2 linked regions of the Xenopus tropicalis genome follow. The protein of the gene in region 1 interacts with the protein of each later gene in a biochemical or structural test. Links are inferred from orthologs where the notes say so. Each region holds a gene or a part of one and is shown on either strand. Other genes may lie near its edges. The genes, in order: reps2 and epn1.

Region 1 (9,781 bases):
CAAGACATATCAGGACTCATTACCAACACCAGACGCAAGTGCTATGCCTGCTAGCTGGCGCAACATAATGGCAATCAGAGCACAATACACTTAGCAGTTAGGCTGGTGCTGATGCTGAGCAGCTACACTCTTTGCCCTTGTGCCAGCTGCACTGTCTGGAGAAAGGCAGGCCTTATAATTTATTTCCGAAATGGGAGAATTTTTGTCTTTCCCACAGAATGATTCATGCTTGAAATTAATTTGTAAGAACTCAACCCTGTATAATAATATTCTTTGAGGTGAATGTTAATGGTTGGATTTATATACAGGCCATGGTGGAAATTACTTGTATATATACCGAATCATGGCTGAGCTGTTAGGGAATTCTGGGAATTATAGCTCAGCAACATCTCTGGTGTAAATATTGTTCCTATAGCCACAGCACAGCTTTTGATGGTCACTTTCTTACCCTACAGGGATGTCTAGTCACTTTACTCCACCAGCTGACAAAATACAACTCCCAGAAACAATCAATTTGCAATCTTTAGCTATTGGTGCATCCTAGAAGTTGCAGTTAAATAGCTGAAGGGTCGCAGGTTGTAATAATTGGTACACATTTTACACTTAAGCCAAATAACACAGTGCATTACATAGATATAGTAATATTTCTTAATGTTTCCATATGTCAAAAGAAATTATCTACTGTCTGAGTTAGGAACTTATAGGTCTGGCTATCAATATATTATTTGTGCTCCATGAGACTGGCCAAGGATCCACATGGGCTGGGAATGCAGTCCATGGGCTAACAGCTGCACATAAGACCCCTAAGTGTTTGAGTCATTGGCTGAATGAATACTCCTGATATCTGCAGCAGATCTTTCATTGTACAGCACTCCAATAACTGTAGCTACACCACTGTTTTGCTAACTAATTATGAACTAAATGTTCTTGCTGATGTCCCATATGGCTGATATGGCATACCACCAACTAGCTGTGGGGCATAAACTGTTGTTTGGTGCTGGCTAAGAAAATAGCCTACCATTGTCCATTAGTGTAGCAAGGAAAATTAATTAAAGTGATACAGACACAAAAAAAATATTAATGTACATTGAAAGTTATCTATAGGTCATGTTGATCATTTTTTGCTTATAGGGCTGCTTTTATAAGTAAATGCTACTTGAAGTTCCTAAACCTGACTGTTTTGCCAACCTGACTGTGCCTTCTCAGCCTCTCAGTTATAGCTTCTAATGCTAATGGACTATTGCTGCACAAATATGGCACCCCCCTCATAGAGGAACTTGGGGCATTAAATAGGTAATATAAAAGCACTGGGCAAATAAAAAATTATAAAGCTCATGCAAAGACACTGTTATGACAGTTATAAAAAAAAGTTTTAATTTTTGATGACAGTATCCCTTTAGTTTCCTGGTGACTTCAAAGGAGCAGGATGACTTGTAATAAAAAGCTACTATATTCAGCTACAGTATCTTGAGATGAAGTGACCACCATAAAGCCGTTCAGTTAAAGTCTAACAATTTCCTGCAGCTGTACATAGTCATTGTGTACTATTGCATTACTGTATCTAACACTGAAAAATTAACTGCAGATCATATGTTACCTCTTTTCTGCTCTGGCAAACTGTGCTTGTTCCACGACAGCCCTCGTATGCATCACCAGAAATTGGCTTTAATGAACCTGCAATTAACAATTGTTTTAAGCTACCATATCTTTATATTTAGTATAGTATAAGATTCAAATGCCCATATACACTGTTAAAATGCTAGCTAAAACCAATCAAGATAGCTGCATATCTGCATGCGTACCAGAAGATGTAAATGCTGAAGGGCCTGACTTGCAACAAAATGTCTCCTCTCCCTGTAAGTACTGTCTTGGCAGTAGCACTGTATTACATTTAAAATCATCTGTTATTTAGGTCCTGCAGTAGTGCATCCCCAAGGCGTAAACAATGGAGAGTCTGAGGACAAATTTTATATTGTTTCCTGTTGACTAGGCAGGCATCAATGGCTTTAGTATACTGTTAAATTACACATAACAGGCCAAAGACCTTTTTTTATTGTTACCACATTTTTATAAATTGCCAATACAATAAAATCAGTGAGTATACAGAATATACAGTTGTTGTTTTTATTTAGAGAGTCTATTTACCTATTTTTTTTCTAAATTACCAAGCACAAACATTATGTAACCTTTGGCTTCAACTCTATACTCCTGTTAAGTAGTTAATAAAAGCAGAGACGTCAACTTAGAAGTGCGGCATATTCCAGTTGGCTCTGTCACATGTTACTATTCAACTGGTTTTATGTAATGGCACTCTGGATGATTTCTATCATTTTGTCACCCCCAGCATTTTCTTGCTCTGCAGAAAGGGGACAAAACAACAGAAACAGGGAAGTTAATGGGAATTACCACTATGCACTGGGGACTGTCTACTGACAGACACATACTACCTGAAAACAACCGGTGTTTAATTTTTTACCACCATGTCACTAGACTGGATAGCCTACAGTGGAAATTCCTATTTACCTTGAAAAGGGATTGACTTGTAGCATTTTGCCTCCTGCCTGTGAAGCAGTCAATCACTGGAGTGACAAATCACTACCTGATGTTCCTTCAAAGCTCCATCAGGAGCCTGAGTAATGATAAATCTTTAGTGACATATATTAATTATACAGGTGCCAAGTTAATGATGCTCATGACCAACAATCATATAACATCATACAACTCATTTATATATTTTTATGTAATTTCAAAGCCTTCTACCATGATTCACAGGAAAGCACGTTTTTGTATCCTAGTAACAGGCTACTTGCTGTAGTACAGAAGCTTCTTCATGCAAATATACCATATGATACACAACAAAAAGCAGAACTGGATTGTCCTCTAAAGAACTGGATGGCACAGAGCTGAACACAATGCTGAATTGCAGCAGCATTAACTTGTGCAACAGCAGCAATCATCATATTATCAATTATATTTGCAAGCAGATCTGGAATTTAGAATCATTTACTTCAGTGTGAAGACTCTGATAATACTCTGAAGACAATACCAGATTTGTACAATAGCTTGAGCTATTCACTACTCTACTTTCTATTGGAGATGACAGGGTTGTATTTTTGAGGCACAGGTGGGTATAATGTATAAATTTGGGAGAGCAGGCAGGCACAGACCTAAAAGGAAACCTGTAATTATAGGTAGATGGTAATGACAGGTCTGCATTGGGCCTACCATTGTAGCATGACCCCTAAAATGCAAGTGTTTTATGGATGTAAATTAAGAGGTGCTTTTTTGCAGTCATTAGTGCTCTAGCACTTGAGTCCAGGATAACCCTTAGGGGCTGATTTACTAACCCACGAATCCGACCCGAATTGGAAAAGTTCCGACTTGAAAACGAATATTTTGCGACTTTTTCGTATGTTTTGCGATTTTTTCGGATTCTGTACGAATTTTTCGGATCCAATACGATTTTTGCGTAAAAACGCGAGTTTTTCGTATCCATTACGAAAGTTGCGTAAAAAGTTGCGCATTTTGCGTAGCGTTAAAACTTACGCGAAAAGTTGCGCATTTTTCGTAGCGTTAAAACTTAACGCTACGAAAAATGCGCAACTTTTCGCGTAAGTTTTAACGCTACGCAAAATGCGCAACTTTTTACGCAACTTTCGTAATGGATAGGAAAACTCGCGTTTTTACGCAAAAATCGTATTGGATCCGAAAAATTCGTAAAGAATCCGAAAAAATCGCAAAACATACGAAAAAATCGCAAAGTACCGATCATTACGAAAAAAACGCAATCGGACTCCATTCGACCCGTTCGTGGGTAAGTAAATCAGCCCCTTAAAGTCCATAGCACAGCAGAATCAAAGAAGTTCACCAATTCTGAGAATAGAAATATACATTGTTAATAGCCATGCATCTCAAAAGCAGTCTTGCTTTGATTATTCTACGGCAGTTTTGATCTTTTTTCCATTTTTGTTATACCTGTATAGTTTAAACTAAAGAATAGCAAGTCCTCTGTAAATTTTTATTTGTATAAACAGAGTTGTTAGTTGTACAGCTAAGAAAAAAACCACAGAAACATGCAATTTACTGTCACTAAATGAGCCTAATGTGCTTACCTGTTTGAATAATTTCTGCCAACAAAGTCCGGGGCAGTGTATCTGGCACCTCATAGCCATTCTTCCTTGCAACAATGAGGTGAAAAGCAGCACTAAATTCAGTCAGTGTTAGGGCTCCATCACAGTCTACATCACTAAGATCCCTGCAATGAGGAACAAAAAAGCAAAAAGGAAGAAACAATATATTATGGGCTGATTATACCCTCTAGGACAGAAATATCTGTCACATATTAACCTGCACTGACTGAAAGGTAAATCATCCTAAACCATACCTATTCTAAAAGCTAACTGAGCAATCTGTGTGAGTGTAAAGGGTGGTGATAGTGTTTAAAATGATTCTTTGATGATTTTTACAATATACTTTTGATCTCTAAATTACATTGTTTACATAGCAAATAATTGACTCTAACATTTAAAATGTTATTCTTGAACCAACAAATGTATTTTTTTAGTTGTAATATTGGTGTGTAGGCAGCCACCTCAGTGCATTGTGCCTGTCTATGAACTTGCAGAAGGAGCCTGCCAGCGCTACACATTGGGGTGAAGACACACAGAGCTACTAGTAGCAGCTACTTTTTCACAGCTACTAAAGACCAAAAAAAACCCTGCCAAAGCAAATGCTGAGAATTGCCTCTGCTAAAACAAACATAGAGACAGTTATCAGTAAATAATCAGCATTATCTATTTTAGTAGCAGTGACAAGTAGCTGCTACTAGTAGCTCTGTGTGTCTTCACCCTTAGAGCTAAATGATGAAAACAGCAGCACACCGGTTGATTTGAAAAAATGTGAAACTTTACTCAAGTGCCAAAGGTAACTGATTCTATTCACCCTTAGAACTGCTTTTCAGATAACCTACTGTTTCTCCTACTCCCATGTAACTGGAGGAGTCATGAGCCAGATTTGGATTTTTTACTTTTAAAGGAGAAGGAAAGGCTAAGGCACTTGGGGGTGCCAAAATGTTAGGCACCACCCAGTGACTTTAATCGCTTACCTGATACCCTGGGCTGGTGCCCCTGTTATGAGAAAACAGCACCAGCCCGGGGTACCTGCAGCTAGGGTCTCCTCTTCCTTATTTCTTCTATCTTTGGAATCCCTGGGCCAGCGCACGCGCAGTAGAGTGAAAAAGCTGACTTTTTTGTTAAGTTTTTTGCGCAAGGACGGCAGAAAGAAGAGGAGACGCTCGCTGCAGGTACCCCAGCCCGTGGTAAAAGGTAACCGATTTAAGTCACTGGGGGGTGCCTAACATTTTGGGGATAAGGGATATTTGTTGCGGGCGACTAATCTCCCTGTCTGTCACGCCCCTTAAGTGCTGTTATCATATCTACCACTTATAGCAATACAGGTGTCAGGAAGCTGCTATCTTGTTACCTTCCCATTCAGTGTCGGACTGGCCCACCAGGATACCAGGAAAACTCTTGGTGGGCCCTCTTGCTTCTAACTATTTAGCCTATTTCATGGTCATTCCCTATTTCAGTATGGGACAAGGAAGCTTGATAGATGGAAGAATAGAGTATAGAATGTAGAGAAAAGAGACTAGGATAATAGAGAGTTTGAGTGAGGAGAGTTTTAAGAGTGGGCCCATGGTCCAGGGTTTTCTGGTGGGCCCCTGCCATCTCAGTCCGACACTGTTCCCATTGTTCTGCTGATTGGCTGCTGGGGGAAAAGGGGAGGGGAGGTAATATCACTCCAACTTGCAGCACAGCAGTAAAGTGTGACTGAAGTTTATCAGAGCACAAGTCACATTGCTATGGCACCCTGCAAAATGAAGATCATGGCTAGCCCCATGTGAAATTTCAAAATTAAATATATTAAAATCTGTTTGCACTTATGAAAAACAGACTTCAATGCAGGGTTCTGCTGGATAATCTCTATTAACGGATTCATTTTTTTTTTTTAAATGTTTTCCCACAACAATATTCCTTTAAATCATAAAACACTAGACATTTGCTACTGCCCACTACTTCCCATTGAGATTTTTAACACCAAGTATACTTGCTTCATTTTCTGTTCTTCAAGCATGCTTTATATTCCAATTTTGTAAACTTTACACAAATCCTAATTTTTCCTTCTTCCATCTTTTTTTCTACTTTTTTTTGTGTTTGTTTCAATTCATATACTTTGTACTTCAAATATTAACTTACTAGCTTTTCTACACAGTTTACTCATCTACCCTTACCAATTAACATCACTTTTCTCACCTTTTCTGTTTCATTCTATTGAGACATAAAAGGTTTAAAACAGAAAAAATAACTGTTCATCATATAATATTTGTTATAGACATAAAGTCTTCTTACCATATATGTGAGAGCTCTGAAATAGGCAGCTTTGATTTGGTGAAAAAGTTCTTTGCTACAGATCCTACAGAGAATTAACAATACAAAAAAAAAACCAACATAAAAAAACAATGTTCTCTCTACTTCAATTAAAATTCAATACTTACATTAATGCACAAATGGTACACGCTAACAGTATACTGTACTGTTTACAATAAAAATGCTAGAATGTTTCTAAATGGTTCCATAAAAATGGCATCTCAATACTATTTACACAAAATATGCAATGTTTATTATAAAATGAAAAATAAAGCATAATTAACAAACCATTTACAAGTATGTTGCGGCATTTCTGTATCTGTAGGAAGATGTTACTAATCGTAGAATAGTGTTTTTTTTTGGCTCAGGCCCATTTTGAAGGCCAAACATTTGACCATTGCCCCCTCTTAGTTATTAACAAGGTTACAGATATATAGAATTATTAATTTATCAGTTGTGTAGTCATAGTTCCATTACCACACAGAATAATGTAAGGTGTTCAACCCAAATCTTGCTCTAACTTATCTCCAGAATGTGATTTAAAACAAAAATAAGCATTATACCCAAACATCTACAGTGGAGGAAATAATTATTTGACCCCTCACTGATTTTGTAAGTTTGTCCAATGACAAAGAAATGAAAAGTCTCAGAACAGTATCATTTCAATGGTAGGTTTATTTTAACAGTGGCAGATAGCACATCAAAAGGAAAATCGAAAAAATAACTTTAAATAAAAGATAGCAACTGATTTGCATTTCATTGAGTGAAATAAGTTTTTGAACCCCTACCAACCATTAAGAGTTCTGGCTCCCACAGAGTGGTTAGACACTTCTACTCAATTAGTCAACCTCATTAAGGACACCTGTCTTAACTAGTCACCTGTATAAAAGACACCTTTCCACAGAATCAATCAATCAAGCAGACTCCAAACTCTCCAACATGGGAAAGACCAAAGAGCTGTCCAAGGATGTCAGAGACAAAATTGTAGACCTGCACAAGGCTGGAATGGGCTACAAAACCATTAGCAAGAAGCTGGGAGAGAAGGTGACAACTGTTGGTGTGATTGTTCGAAAATGGAAGGAGCACAAAATGACCATCAATCGACCTCGCTCTGGGGCTCCACGCAAGATCTCACCTCGTGGGGTGTCAATGATTCTGAGAAAGGTGAAAAAGCATCCTAGAACTACACGGGAGGAGTTAGTTAATGACCTCAAATTAGCAGGGACCACAGTCACCAAGAAAACCATTGGAAACACATTACACCGCAATGGATTAAAATCCTGCAGGGCTCGCAAGGTCCCCCTGCTCAAGAAGGCACATGTGCAGGCCCGTCTGAAGTTTGCCAATGAACACCTGAATGATTCTGTGAGTGACTGGGAGAAGGTGCTGTGGTCTGATGAGACCAAAATAGAGCTCTTTGGCATTAACTCAACTCGCTGTGTTTGGAGGAAGAAAAATGCTGCCTATGACCCCCAAAACACCGTCCCCACCGTCAAGCATGGGGGTGGAAACATTTTGCTTTGGGGGTGTTTTTCTGCTAAGGGCACAGGACAACTTATTCGCATTAACGGGAAAATGGACGGAGCCATGTATCGTGAAATCCTGAATGACAACCTCCTTCCCTCTGCCAGGAAACTGAAAATGGGTCGTGGATGGGTGTTCCAGCACGACACTGACCCAAAACATACAGCAAAGGCAACAAAGGAGTGGCTCAAGAAGAAGCACATTAAGGTCATGGAGTGGCCTAGTCAGTCTCTGGACCTTAATCCAATAGAAAACCTATGGAGGGAGCTCAAGCTCAGAGTTGCACAGAGACAGCCTCGAAACCTTAGGGATTTAGAGATGATCTGCAAAGAGGAGTGGACCAACATTCCTCCTAAAATGTGCGCAAACTTGGTCATCAATTACAAGAAACGTTTGACCTCTGTGCTTGCAAACAAGAGTTTTTCCACTAAGTATTAAGTCTTTTTTTGTTAGAGGGTTCAAAAACTTATTTCACTCAATGAAATGCAAATCAGTTGCTATCTTTTATTTAAAGTTATTTTTTCGATTTTCCTTTTGATGTGCTACTGCCACTGTTAAAATAAACCTACCATTGAAATGATACTGTTCTGAGACTTTTCATTTCTTTGTCATTGGACAAACTTACAAAATCAGTGAGGGGTCAAATAATTATTTCCTCCACTGTATGTATTGCTGTTTTGTCAGTGGATAATTGTGAGCACCATATGGATACTATAATACATACAAGTACATATATATTTATATGTGTGTCCTGTTGGAGTCAAGTTAAGGAATAACATTAGGTGCTTTTTTATTTTGTGTACATAATCAACAATTCAATAACCTCTTATTTAGATTATTCAGATAACTGACAATATAAAGGAAACTGCACATATTCTTCTATATCTTCTAAAATTTACTTATGATTATGGGGCCCCAACCTCTATAATTCCCTTAATACCCATCCATTAACACCAGTCACAAGAACATCAGCATTCTGTGGAAGTGAGTCCTAAAAAAATGCTGCATTGTAGGGAAAAAATGGTGACTTACATTTAAACAATGCACCTTTGCACACTGCATTTGTAAATCCCTTTAGATTTCTGAAATGTTAAATAAGATCTTTAGGGACTCATGCAATCTTTGTAGTAAAATCTATAGGAAATTTTGGAATTGAAATAGAAGTGAATCTGGGGCATAGAATGGAAATTCCTTACAGAATGAAACTATGATATTTAAACAAAAATATAATTACCAGAAATTAATGATTTTAGGTCAGGCTGAAGAGTTATGAACTGGTTAGTGTAATACTCTCGCTGTTCCTCCGTTATCCTCCAGGGGTCCTCAGAGTAATTACTAGGATCATCAAGTGATTCTCTTTCAACTGAGAGTGAAAGCTGCAAAAAAAAAGAATTATCGCTTTATCAATAAAGATTAAGATAATGATTGTAAAATATTTTTTCAAATTACTGTAAATCAGGAATAAACTCAGTATCCATATGCAGATTTGGACACAGAGAAATACACAATGTAGTAGTCATGTATTGTGTCTGACCCGTTGCACTTCTTGTTCAACCAAAGCTGGAGGGGTGTGTATACTTAACCCCTTTTGTTTAATTCAGCATATTGTTTATTCTACATGGTATACAGAAGAAGATACAGTATATTATCCCTTACTGGAAGTGCAAATATTTTTTCAAGAATAAAAAAGGTTTGAGGTTTTTGTTAAATTCAGAAGCAGAGTCAGTCCAAAAGGTACTGTCACCCAAGGCAAGTACCTTGTCTCCTCTCCTGATCGCTACCACACCACTTACTCTCATAAGTTGAGCCCTAGGTAGCTGCCTCTTCTGCCT
Region 2 (9,881 bases), on another chromosome or scaffold:
AAACTGGCTTCCATTAGCGGCCCTCCAGGTATGCTAGAGAAATTCCGGCCCTCGGCACCGCAGAAGTTGGACAGCACTGCTTTAGGGTGATGGCACTTAACATTTTCTAGCTCACAGGGGAGTATTCTCACTACATGGAAGGGGGAAATACACTATAAATAGTTTCCTATTTAAAGTGAATAAGAACTGTGCATTTGCTAAGCATACATTTCATAAAGCTGCAATATCAGCAGGGGACAGGCACGACTTCGGAATGGTCGACGTTGTTGTTTCTAGGTCATCTTTATAGAAAATCAATAAACTGATCAATCAGGTTGTGACAGAAAGTGACCAGGAAACTGAAGGATTTTCACATACCCCTCCCCCAGAGTGAGAAAGACTAATGGCCATACACAGGCAGATATCAACTGCCGATTCGGGTCGACATTGATTAGTCACCGTGACTTTTGAAAAAACATGGCCGCAGCAACTATTTGTGGTAATTTAGCTGCCATAGATTTATAAAGCAGTCAACACTAATCGTGTGTTGTGGCTTTTAGTTGCTGCTACTTTTTAAAAAGTTGTGGTGACTATTTACCCAGTGTGTCTTTGCACTAAAACTAAAGGCCCCCATACACGGGCCGAATGTAGCTGCTGATTTCTGTCCCTTGGACCGACTCGGCAGCTTATCGGCCCGTGTAGGGGCAGAAACGAGCGGGCTGGCCGACCGATATCTGGCCTGAAATTGGCCAGCTATCGGTCGGCCAGGTTAGAAGATCCAGTCGGATGGGGGACCGCATCGGCTCGTTGATGCGGTCCCCTAACCGACTGCCCCATTGCCGCCTACATAAATCGGATTTTTTTTTAACTTCAAGCTCCCCGATATCGCCCACCCGTAGGTGGGGATATCGGGGGAAGATCCGCTCTCTTGGCAATCTCGCCAAGCAAGCGGATCTTACCGTGTATGGGGACCTTAACTCAGCCCGTGTATGGGGTCCTCTGACCCATATCTGCCAAAAATTGCTCAGATGTTAATTGGACAGACTTGATTATTCGTCAGATCGGGGACAGCATCGGCTCATTGATTTGGTCCTTGCTTCAACTTTTCCTAATCCCTTCATTGCAATGCGATCAGTTGACCCTAGGTCCAAACGACTGCATTAGCAGGATATTGCCCACCCAAGGTGGGGCGTATTGGGGTAAAGATTTGCTTGTTTGGAAAGAGCAAATCTTACTGTGTATGGCCATCTTAAAATTTGACAGTACTGGGTTTAAAGGAGAAGGAAAGGCAAAGTCACTTGGGGGTGCCAAAATGTTAGGCACCCCCAAGTGACTTTAATCGCCTACCTTGTACCCAGGGCTGGTGCCCCTGTTAGGAGAAAACAGCACCAGCCTGGGGTATCTGTAGTGAGTGCTTACTCCTTCCTGCTTAGTTTTCCAGCAAATTCCTGTGGCCGGCGCATGTGCAGTAGAGTGAAAAGCCGACTTTTCTGTTTAAATTTAGCTTTTCACTCTACTGCGCATGCACGCACGAGCGAAGCAGGAAGAGCTGCAGGTACCCCAGGCTGGTGCTGTTCTTTCCGAACAGGGGCACCAGCCCGGGGTAGAAGGTAGGCGATTTAAGTCACTTGGGGGTTCGGTGGAGTTGGATATACAAACGTCCCAACCACAGTTTGAAACAGCACTCTGGTCCCCCACTTTAACCAAACCTACATCAACATTGTATAAAACACTACTACAAACAACTCCATCCTCATTCAAAACAGCACACCGCAAATGGTTGTCCATTCCCAGTCCTCACAGAGGAGGACTGGGAAGAAGCAACAGACAGAGGGTATTATTACTTATTTTCAGTAAGAGACAAACTTGTCCAATTTAAATGGCTGCACCAATTTTATCTCACGCCTACACGACTAAGGTCTATGGGACGCAACCCCGATGCACGATGCCATAGATGTGGGATGGAGGAGGCAAATTTCCTACACATGGCCTGGTCGTGCCCACAGGTAGCCAAATTGTGGTCTGAGGTTATGTGTGTCCTAGCAGACAAACTAGAATTCCCCAAAATTCTGACACCCCAGGTGTGTATACTAGGAATCCTGGATGAATTAATAACCACCAACCATGCTAGAACCAGGTATAGGACACTCCTATACTACGCAAGGAAAATCATTGCAATGGCTTGGATGGGACCCAAACCTCCTACAGTTCAAAACTGGATCACCCTGGTAAATCAAGTTTTGCCCCTCATTAAACTTACTTTGCTAGCCAGAGGTTCCCAAAAGAAATTTGAGAAAATCTGGAGCCCATGGTGGGAGGCAGGCCTAGGTGGACAAGGTACCTTGACATGAAATCCCAATTTACACGTGCAGATGACCTTAATTCCCTAACTAAAATCCTCATGCAACCATCATTTTAAAACATCCGCGCTACCTGCAAAACCTAGTATAATATAATTGAATGAAACAGCGCTGCACACCTATAATCTCGGTCATACCAACCGAACCTATTGTATTTCATTACTTTTGTCATAACAAAACTGAAACATGTATAATATGTTACCGCTATACCGTAACCAGTGGTATATAATCTCCCTTCCTGTTTTATTTTTGTTTTTCTTTATGTTTTGTTTCATGTATGTTACATAAAACAATAAAAAGGATAAACCATAAGTCACTTGGGGGTGCTTAACATTTTGGCACCCCCAAGTGATTTTGCCTTTCCTTCTCCTTTAAGGGAGAAGCAGGGTTTCTTATGGATTTACAAAAGAAGGAAGATTCTTAAGGGTTCAGAATTGGTTATTATATTTAGTTTTACTGGGAAGCTGCTGAAAAATAAAATAAATACTGTAAGGAAACCAGAGAAGTGCAAGGCAACCTTATGTCCATGTGAAACTAGCCCTACTTGGCCATGCGATTGCTTACATTGGGGAACAGTAACAACACCACAACTGGTTTGAGATATTTGTGTTTAGTACAGTAAAGATGGCCTACCACGTAAGCCAAATACAGCCCTCCAAGAGGAATATGGCCAGGCCCAGCCCAGCTGAAAATGGCTCCAATGACTTCTTTGTAAGAAATAATATTGAAACTATTCATTAGTAATAAGAACAATAGAGAATAAAGGGATTGATGCTCTACTACATCATAAGCAGGCCAGGAGAGAGAAGAGGGCAATGCAAGAAGATTGGAACTTCCAAAATAAAGAAAGAAGGACGTCTAACCATCCTGCATCTGTAGAGCTACAACTCTCACCATGCCCTGAGTATCTCTGCCCATACGGGCCCTATAATGCTTAGGGCCAAGCGCAGGTGCACCCTTCATTCTAAATCAGCGGTTCTCAACCTGTGGGTCAGGATCCCTTTGGGGGTCCAACAACCCTTTCACAGGGGTCGCCTAAGACCATCAGGAAACACATATTTCCAATGGTCTTGGGAACCAAGACACAGCTCCTCTATGGTTGGGGGTCACCATAACATGAGGAACTATATTAAACAGTTGCACGGTTCTAAATCCAGCCACACACAGCAGAGAAGCGTTACAGGCTTGTTTACTCTAACCAGAGACGCAAAAGCGAACAACGCATAGTGTAAATAAAGCTTTGGTATAGGAAGGAGGCCGCCCCTGATGTCATGCTGAGGGCGGAAGCGGCGACATCTTGTCCTCAGGCTGCCAGTAATTGCCCCCTCCCTTTTCCGTCCCTTAGTTTTTCCGGGGTGAAAGGGCGCGGGCTCCGGGGCGGCTCCTGCTCCTGCTGCTGTGTATTAGCTGTGCGGCGGAGACATTCCGAGTGAGGCCCAGGAGGGACGGGGGCGGCTTGGCGAGGAGCCGCAGGACTTCCTGTTGGAGCGGCTCGGGAGTGGCCAGGCTGCGGCTCCCATTCTGGCACAGAGGAGAGGCAGCGTTAATACAAGGATAGAGGTACGGGACAGCGCTGTGCCATGTACTGATACTGCTGTGCAAGCACCCCCCTCTGTGCGCAAACTAGCGCCTGTTTCCCTTCCATGTGCGGAGCCGCAGTGTGAGGGCACATTCCGCTTTCTGCCATTCATCCGCTCCGTGTGTGAATGTCACAGCCTACTGCAGCCTTATCCCGGGGCCGGCCCGCCTGCTGCAGCTGTATCCCGGGGCCGGCCCGCCTGCTGCAGCTGTATCCCGGGGCCGGCCCGCCTGCTGCAGCTGTATCCCGGGGCCGGCCCGCCTGCTGCAGCTGTATCCCGGGGCCGGCCCGCCTGCTGCAGCTGTATCCCGGGGCCGGCCCGCCTACTGCGGCTGTATCCCGGGGCCGGTCAGATTGCTGCAGCTGTATCCCGGGGCCGGCCCGCCTGCTGCCTTCACTTTCATTCTGTGCGCTAATCTGCCCGCATTCTGTGTTCAACCACTAAATACATTGGCATCCCACGCTACCTTCCCATTTACATTGGTTACGAATTTGCAGTGTCTTTAAAGTTATTTTAAATAGACTTTTTAGCTTTTATTAGGAAACCTGTTATTTATGGCTTTACATCCCCTTTAAGAGCATTAGTTCTTTTGTTGGAATCAGCATCAAGCTGAAAGTTGTAAATCACTGATTTATGTATAGTATGTCTGTTCTCATTGGGTGGCCCTCCATCAGCCTGTTCCCCAGGGACCCCTCTCTTACCTACTCCACTTCCTTTCACAAAAGCTGCTCCATAGTGTGTATGATGATGGCAGATACACTGACAGCTGAGATAAATAATGCAGATTCTGTCTTAGGGCTGATCCATGGAGAGAAGGGCTGCTTAATGGAAAGTGATAAAGCATTATGTATTGCGATATGGTATTGGCCTTGTTCCTATGCCCCCCTCCCTGGACAAAAAAAAACCTTTATTAGAACAAATGGCTTTGGAATATTGTTTTCAGCATCTTGGAGCCTTCGCCCAATGGCTTTTGTTGCCATGACTGCTAGTCATTTAACTGGAGAGTGGCAGGCTGGCCATTCATAGGTTGTTGTCTTCATGGTGCCTGTAAATAAGCACATACTATGTGCCATAAAGTCTTTTTAGGTTAGAAAGGGTTGTGGGGAACATGCTAAAACATAATGGCATGTTGGTAGTAGCCAACAGCTGGGGGGGGGGCAGGTTTGAATTCTCCTTTATCGATACAGTCCTGAAATTCCTTATGTACCGTTTTGCACCCAGCATTGCTGCACTCCATGTGCTAGCTTATTCACCTCCAGTTGGATCCCTGCAAATAAGCTAACTGCTATGCCGGCCTGCAGACTATGCTCTCAGCATTGCATTGCTCAGCAGAAAAAGGCTTTAACAGGAAAGATATGTGCACTTGGCAGTCAGAGCTGCTGTTTCAGTGCTTGTGGTTTACTACAGCTCAGTCTAGCTCAGAATGTGTATAGTCACATTAGGAGGAAGATTACATTGAGAATTTTTATAATAAAGTATATATGTTGGTTCATAGATTGGGCATGTATCTGAGGTGGTCACATTGCTCAGTTAGTGATGTTTAAGGTGTGCTGGGTTCCAGTGAATTTCATGAATGGTTCCTTAACAGCCAAATGCAGGGCCTATCCCTATAACAGAGTGAGCCACTTTGCTGCAGCATAAACACCCCATGGGTAAAGTGCATGGTTCTTGTGTTATGTCAGATACAGTTTGTTGTAAAATATACCTCCAGGATAGTCCTCTATGGGCCTCCTGTAGCAGAAGGCAGATTTCACACGCCAGGAAACAAGCAGCACTTACTAGTCACTAAGGGAACCCTGGGGTGCTGACGTCTGCTGCCATATGGGCAGGTAAGCAGCAATATTACAGTTATCTGCCTGACTGAATCATTTTGGACATACCCTTACGCTAAGGCCAAACCCTAAAGTTTTGTTGTCACACCACTGTAATACACAGCAAAATTTGTTTGGCTTAGTCGTGCTCTGATATTAATATGCTACTATCCAGGCTTAGATTCAGCCTAATGTTTGTGTAGAATACGATACAGGACTGAGTCCAAAATGATATACCACTAATCACTGATATTTGATTCCTCTTGTGTTATTCAGCATTATTCATTATGTTTAGATCCACTCTGCGCTATGCTACCAACAATGCTGCTTCTGTAAGGAAGATAGAATGGGAAGATAACCTGCTAGGGCATGTTTAATGTGTACTTTCAGTGGAATATACTGCCTGCTGATTGGCTGTGTCTGCTTACATAAAGGGGGCCAAAATAATCCTTTATTTTATCTCCAGATTTGATTGGGCAAGGCAAAGTGTATGAAGTGCATGTATCTATCCCTGCAACACTGCATTAATATTAAATGCAGTCAGATGTGCTTAATATAGCCTTTATTGCCTTCTGTGATTTGCTTACAAACTCTTTGCTATATTTGGTCTCAAATTAATTTTTTTTTGCTGAAGTCAAGGTGATTTTCCAGCAGCAAGTACACAGATTAGCTCAATTAGCACAAATTGTGGCTAATTGGTCTTTGTCGATGCGCAGAAGGTGTCGCTTATGCCATTCACACGTAATTGCAACTTGCTGGACCTTTACTTGTAAGACTGGCGAGCCTTGTTAGCAGTAGATAGCTCAATATAGCTTCCCGTCTGTGGGTGTTAAAGTGCCATTAACCCATTGCTTTCATTAGTTCTATTGCAGTGTCGTCGTTTGTGGGTGAAAACAAAGTGCTATGTGACTCAGAGACTAAGCAAGTGCCATAAAGCTGCTTTGGACAGATCACATACTCTTTGCTTTGTCAGCATTTAAATATTGCTGCTTGCGCCATCATGCTTTTAGCTGGCAGTGGTCTAGTAGCTTGGTTGTAAATGGGAGTGGAGCTTCTTCCATTAGGTCTTTGAGCAAACAAAATTATGGACTTTTGATGGGGGAAAACATGCCTGTCTCTTAAAAACTCCTCAATGAACTGTAGCATGCAGAACTGTCATCCAGCCCCATGTCATGAGGGAGATTATGGTCCAGTCCTTTATGGTCCAGTTTTTTTTTTTTTAGGCCTGGATTCCTCTTCACACTATATAATAATGATCAACTCATGAGACCATATTTCATGTTATCATTTAGTGTGAAGAGGAATCCAGGACTGGACTATTATCTCCCTCATGACACTGGGTTGGTTGACAGTCTCGGAGCAAGTAAAGGCAATGGCACCTGGGGCTGTATTGGGCGCTGTGCCACCTGTGATCTTTTCTAGCTTTACTCCGCCTTCCATGAACTTGGCAACAACTTTTCTTGATATATTGGTTTCAGGCAGCTTTCCTGCCGTGGTAAGGAACCTCAGTGGAATTAAAGGGGTGGTTCACCTTTATGTTAACTTTTTAGTATGTTATAGAACAGTGATCCCCAACCAGTGGCTCGGGAGCAACATGTTGCTTGCCAACCCTTTGGATGTTGCTCACAGTGGCCTCAAAGCAGGTGCTTGTGAGTCTAGAATTTAATTGTTATTGTTACTTTTTATTGTTTGTCTACCTCTTTGGCCCCTCAATTATTTATATATCAAACAACTGCCTGGTTGCTAAGGTTAATAAGACCTTAATAATAAATAAGCTAAATAACTTAAAAAAAAAAAAAAGACCAATTGCAATTATCAATGTTAACATCGTACTAAAAGTTAAGTTAATGGTGAATTAGCCCTTTAAGGGCTGCTGAAGTTTAACCAGAAAGGACATGGTAACATAGCACTTAATGAATGTCCCTTTTTTGTTTTAGAAATATTACAGAATGGAAAAGCTGTCATCATACTGCTATAGGAGAGATAATAGGAAAGTGAATGGAGAAACCCAGCTCATTTTATTCCCTGCTAACATGCCTTTATGTACAGTTTATGTAATTTCTGCCTGTTGATCCGTAAATGCCAGCAGGCCTAGCTCACACTATTACATTGCTTAAAGGGCTGATATACTTATGCTTTATTAATTGATATATATGGGCCAATTACAGCATACACATCAGCTTTTTATTTTACTTTCTTATCTTGTAATGCAGGGTTGCTTAACTAATTTGTTAGGGTACCGCGATTAAGTCTGGAAGTCTGTTTTGTGGCCCAAGAACCTAGATGACTTACTCGCTTCATTTTGGTTACTTCTTCCTGCTGTAGTAGGCAGTTTCTCTGTATGAAAGGTATTATGAAGACCCACTTTAAAGGGCACAGGGGCCACTTTTTGGTGCTATATCAAAGGTTAAGAATCTGTTGTAGTGCTGATATTCATACACTATTGCAATATACTTTGTAGACTTAATTTCTGGCATGTAGCATGATATATGTTAAATATTCATTTTGGTGTTTCCTTTTTGTACTGTGAGCTTCGTGGAAATACCTGAATTTTTACATTTCCTGATTATGCATTCATCTCACCAGATACAAATTGTCCTAGTTTGGGGGTGATATTCAGACAATTCTGGATTCTGAGTGCCACAATGCTTAACTACACAAAGTTTGCATTAAAACTTGTATAGAAATATTTTTGGGGAAATCTTACAGGAGGGCTTATTTGTACATATATGTTTTCTTGGCACTCGCATACCACTACTCCTTTGACCGAAACTGACCTGCAGGATTGTATCAAGGTCACCTGTATTGTATGAGTTTCTGAAGACTACTGAGACCATTATTAATATTAGTTCCAAAACAGTTTAAACAATTCGTATCCTTCTTACCCAAACATGGCAATTGATAACATGTGGAAGAGGCTCTCTTGCATTGTGAAATATATAAAGTGCAGAGATACTGTGTGCACAAAATATTTACACTACAGGGCAATTTTTTAGATGAATGGTGTGTCAGCGGCAATTCATTTACAATTACAATTGGTATGCAGAGAAGGGATGATAATATTGGATAATTTACCATGTTCTCTAGGGAAAAAAAACTTTGCTTATAAATAATTTATATTTTGAATTTAAGCCAATCTAATCTAATCAATTGTTTTGCAATTTATATGTATTTATAGCTGTGAGTATTGCAGTATTATGGTATTTTTTTTATAGCTGTGTCTGAGAATAGGGACTGGCTCAGATCTGGGCCATTTTAGAACCGTTTCTTGGTGCCATTTCTATTAATTATATTGTCTTGCTAAAAAAATTTAAATAATCAAGCAGTTTTGTCTTCCCCTTTTTGTAAATTATTGCAGACATCAAATCTGTTATTGGAACTTGGAATGCCAAAAACCATGTGCTACGTTTACTGGGATTGGTATAGGAATCATAGCTGATCAGCTTGTTTGCAATCGCATGACCCTGCATGACATGACCCAGAAGAGATGAGTTCTGTTAAAACTAATTCATTCATCTTTTTTTTTTTTTTTTTGTCTTCTGTTTAGGTTTCCAGTTGGATATAAGACTTTTTCTGGGACACCAACAGCAGACTTTAACTGATCTTGACAACGGCATCACTTTGAGTTATTTAGACAACTTTATGGACCATATTATGTACCGTAGATAGCCATTGGATTTTGTGTTAATTTGGGACCTCTGAGCTTTACTGGATTATTATAAACCTTTTCCCCATATATGTGCTGTTAACTTGGCCTGCATGGTTTAAAGCTTGAATACAGAATGCTGAAGGTCTTCTCTAGATCATGAGCCACATCCTTGCCCTGTGAAGGTAAGTGCAAACCGCTTGTAACACCACATTCTTATATATAAATTGCATTAAATAATGTGGACTACTTCCAGTCGTCATTAACATTTATATATTTTTCCTGCTAAATGTAAACCTTACCGTAAATAAGGGTGCTATATCTATTTGTTTCTAGGGCAAGTGATACATGTATATAACAAATTAAGTGGTCTGGTGGAGTTGCTTATTTAAAGTGATTTTAACCCCTGAATGTGTTTACTTTGTGCAGATAATGGAAATGGAAATGCATATTTAATGTAAAACACATTACTAATGCTTTATTAAAGCACTGTCGTATAGAGCTT

What was found.
Region 2: the proteins of reps2 (region 1) and epn1 form a complex in vitro, tested with the Homo sapiens proteins (3 studies listed by BioGRID and IntAct, with this or other methods). The link is inferred for Xenopus tropicalis from reciprocal best matches to the Homo sapiens genes REPS2 and EPN1.

The regions. Positions count from the first base shown.
Region 1 is NC_030678.2:94,753,908-94,763,688, reverse strand, and holds part of reps2 (ralBP1-associated Eps domain-containing protein 2), read right to left. Parts: intron 9,326-9,781; coding exon 9,184-9,325; intron 6,472-9,183; coding exon 6,408-6,471; intron 4,256-6,407; coding exon 4,113-4,255; intron 1,675-4,112; coding exon 1,598-1,674; intron 1-1,597. UniProt on the Homo sapiens protein: Involved in ligand-dependent receptor mediated endocytosis of the EGF and insulin receptors as part of the Ral signaling pathway. By controlling growth factor receptors endocytosis may regulate cell survival.
Region 2 is NC_030683.2:104,089,932-104,099,812, forward strand, and holds the start of epn1 (epsin-1), read left to right. Parts: upstream 1-3,870; 5' UTR 3,871-3,899; intron 3,900-9,277; 5' UTR 9,278-9,561; intron 9,562-9,881. UniProt on the Homo sapiens protein: Binds to membranes enriched in phosphatidylinositol 4,5-bisphosphate (PtdIns(4,5)P2). Modifies membrane curvature and facilitates the formation of clathrin-coated invaginations. Regulates receptor-mediated endocytosis.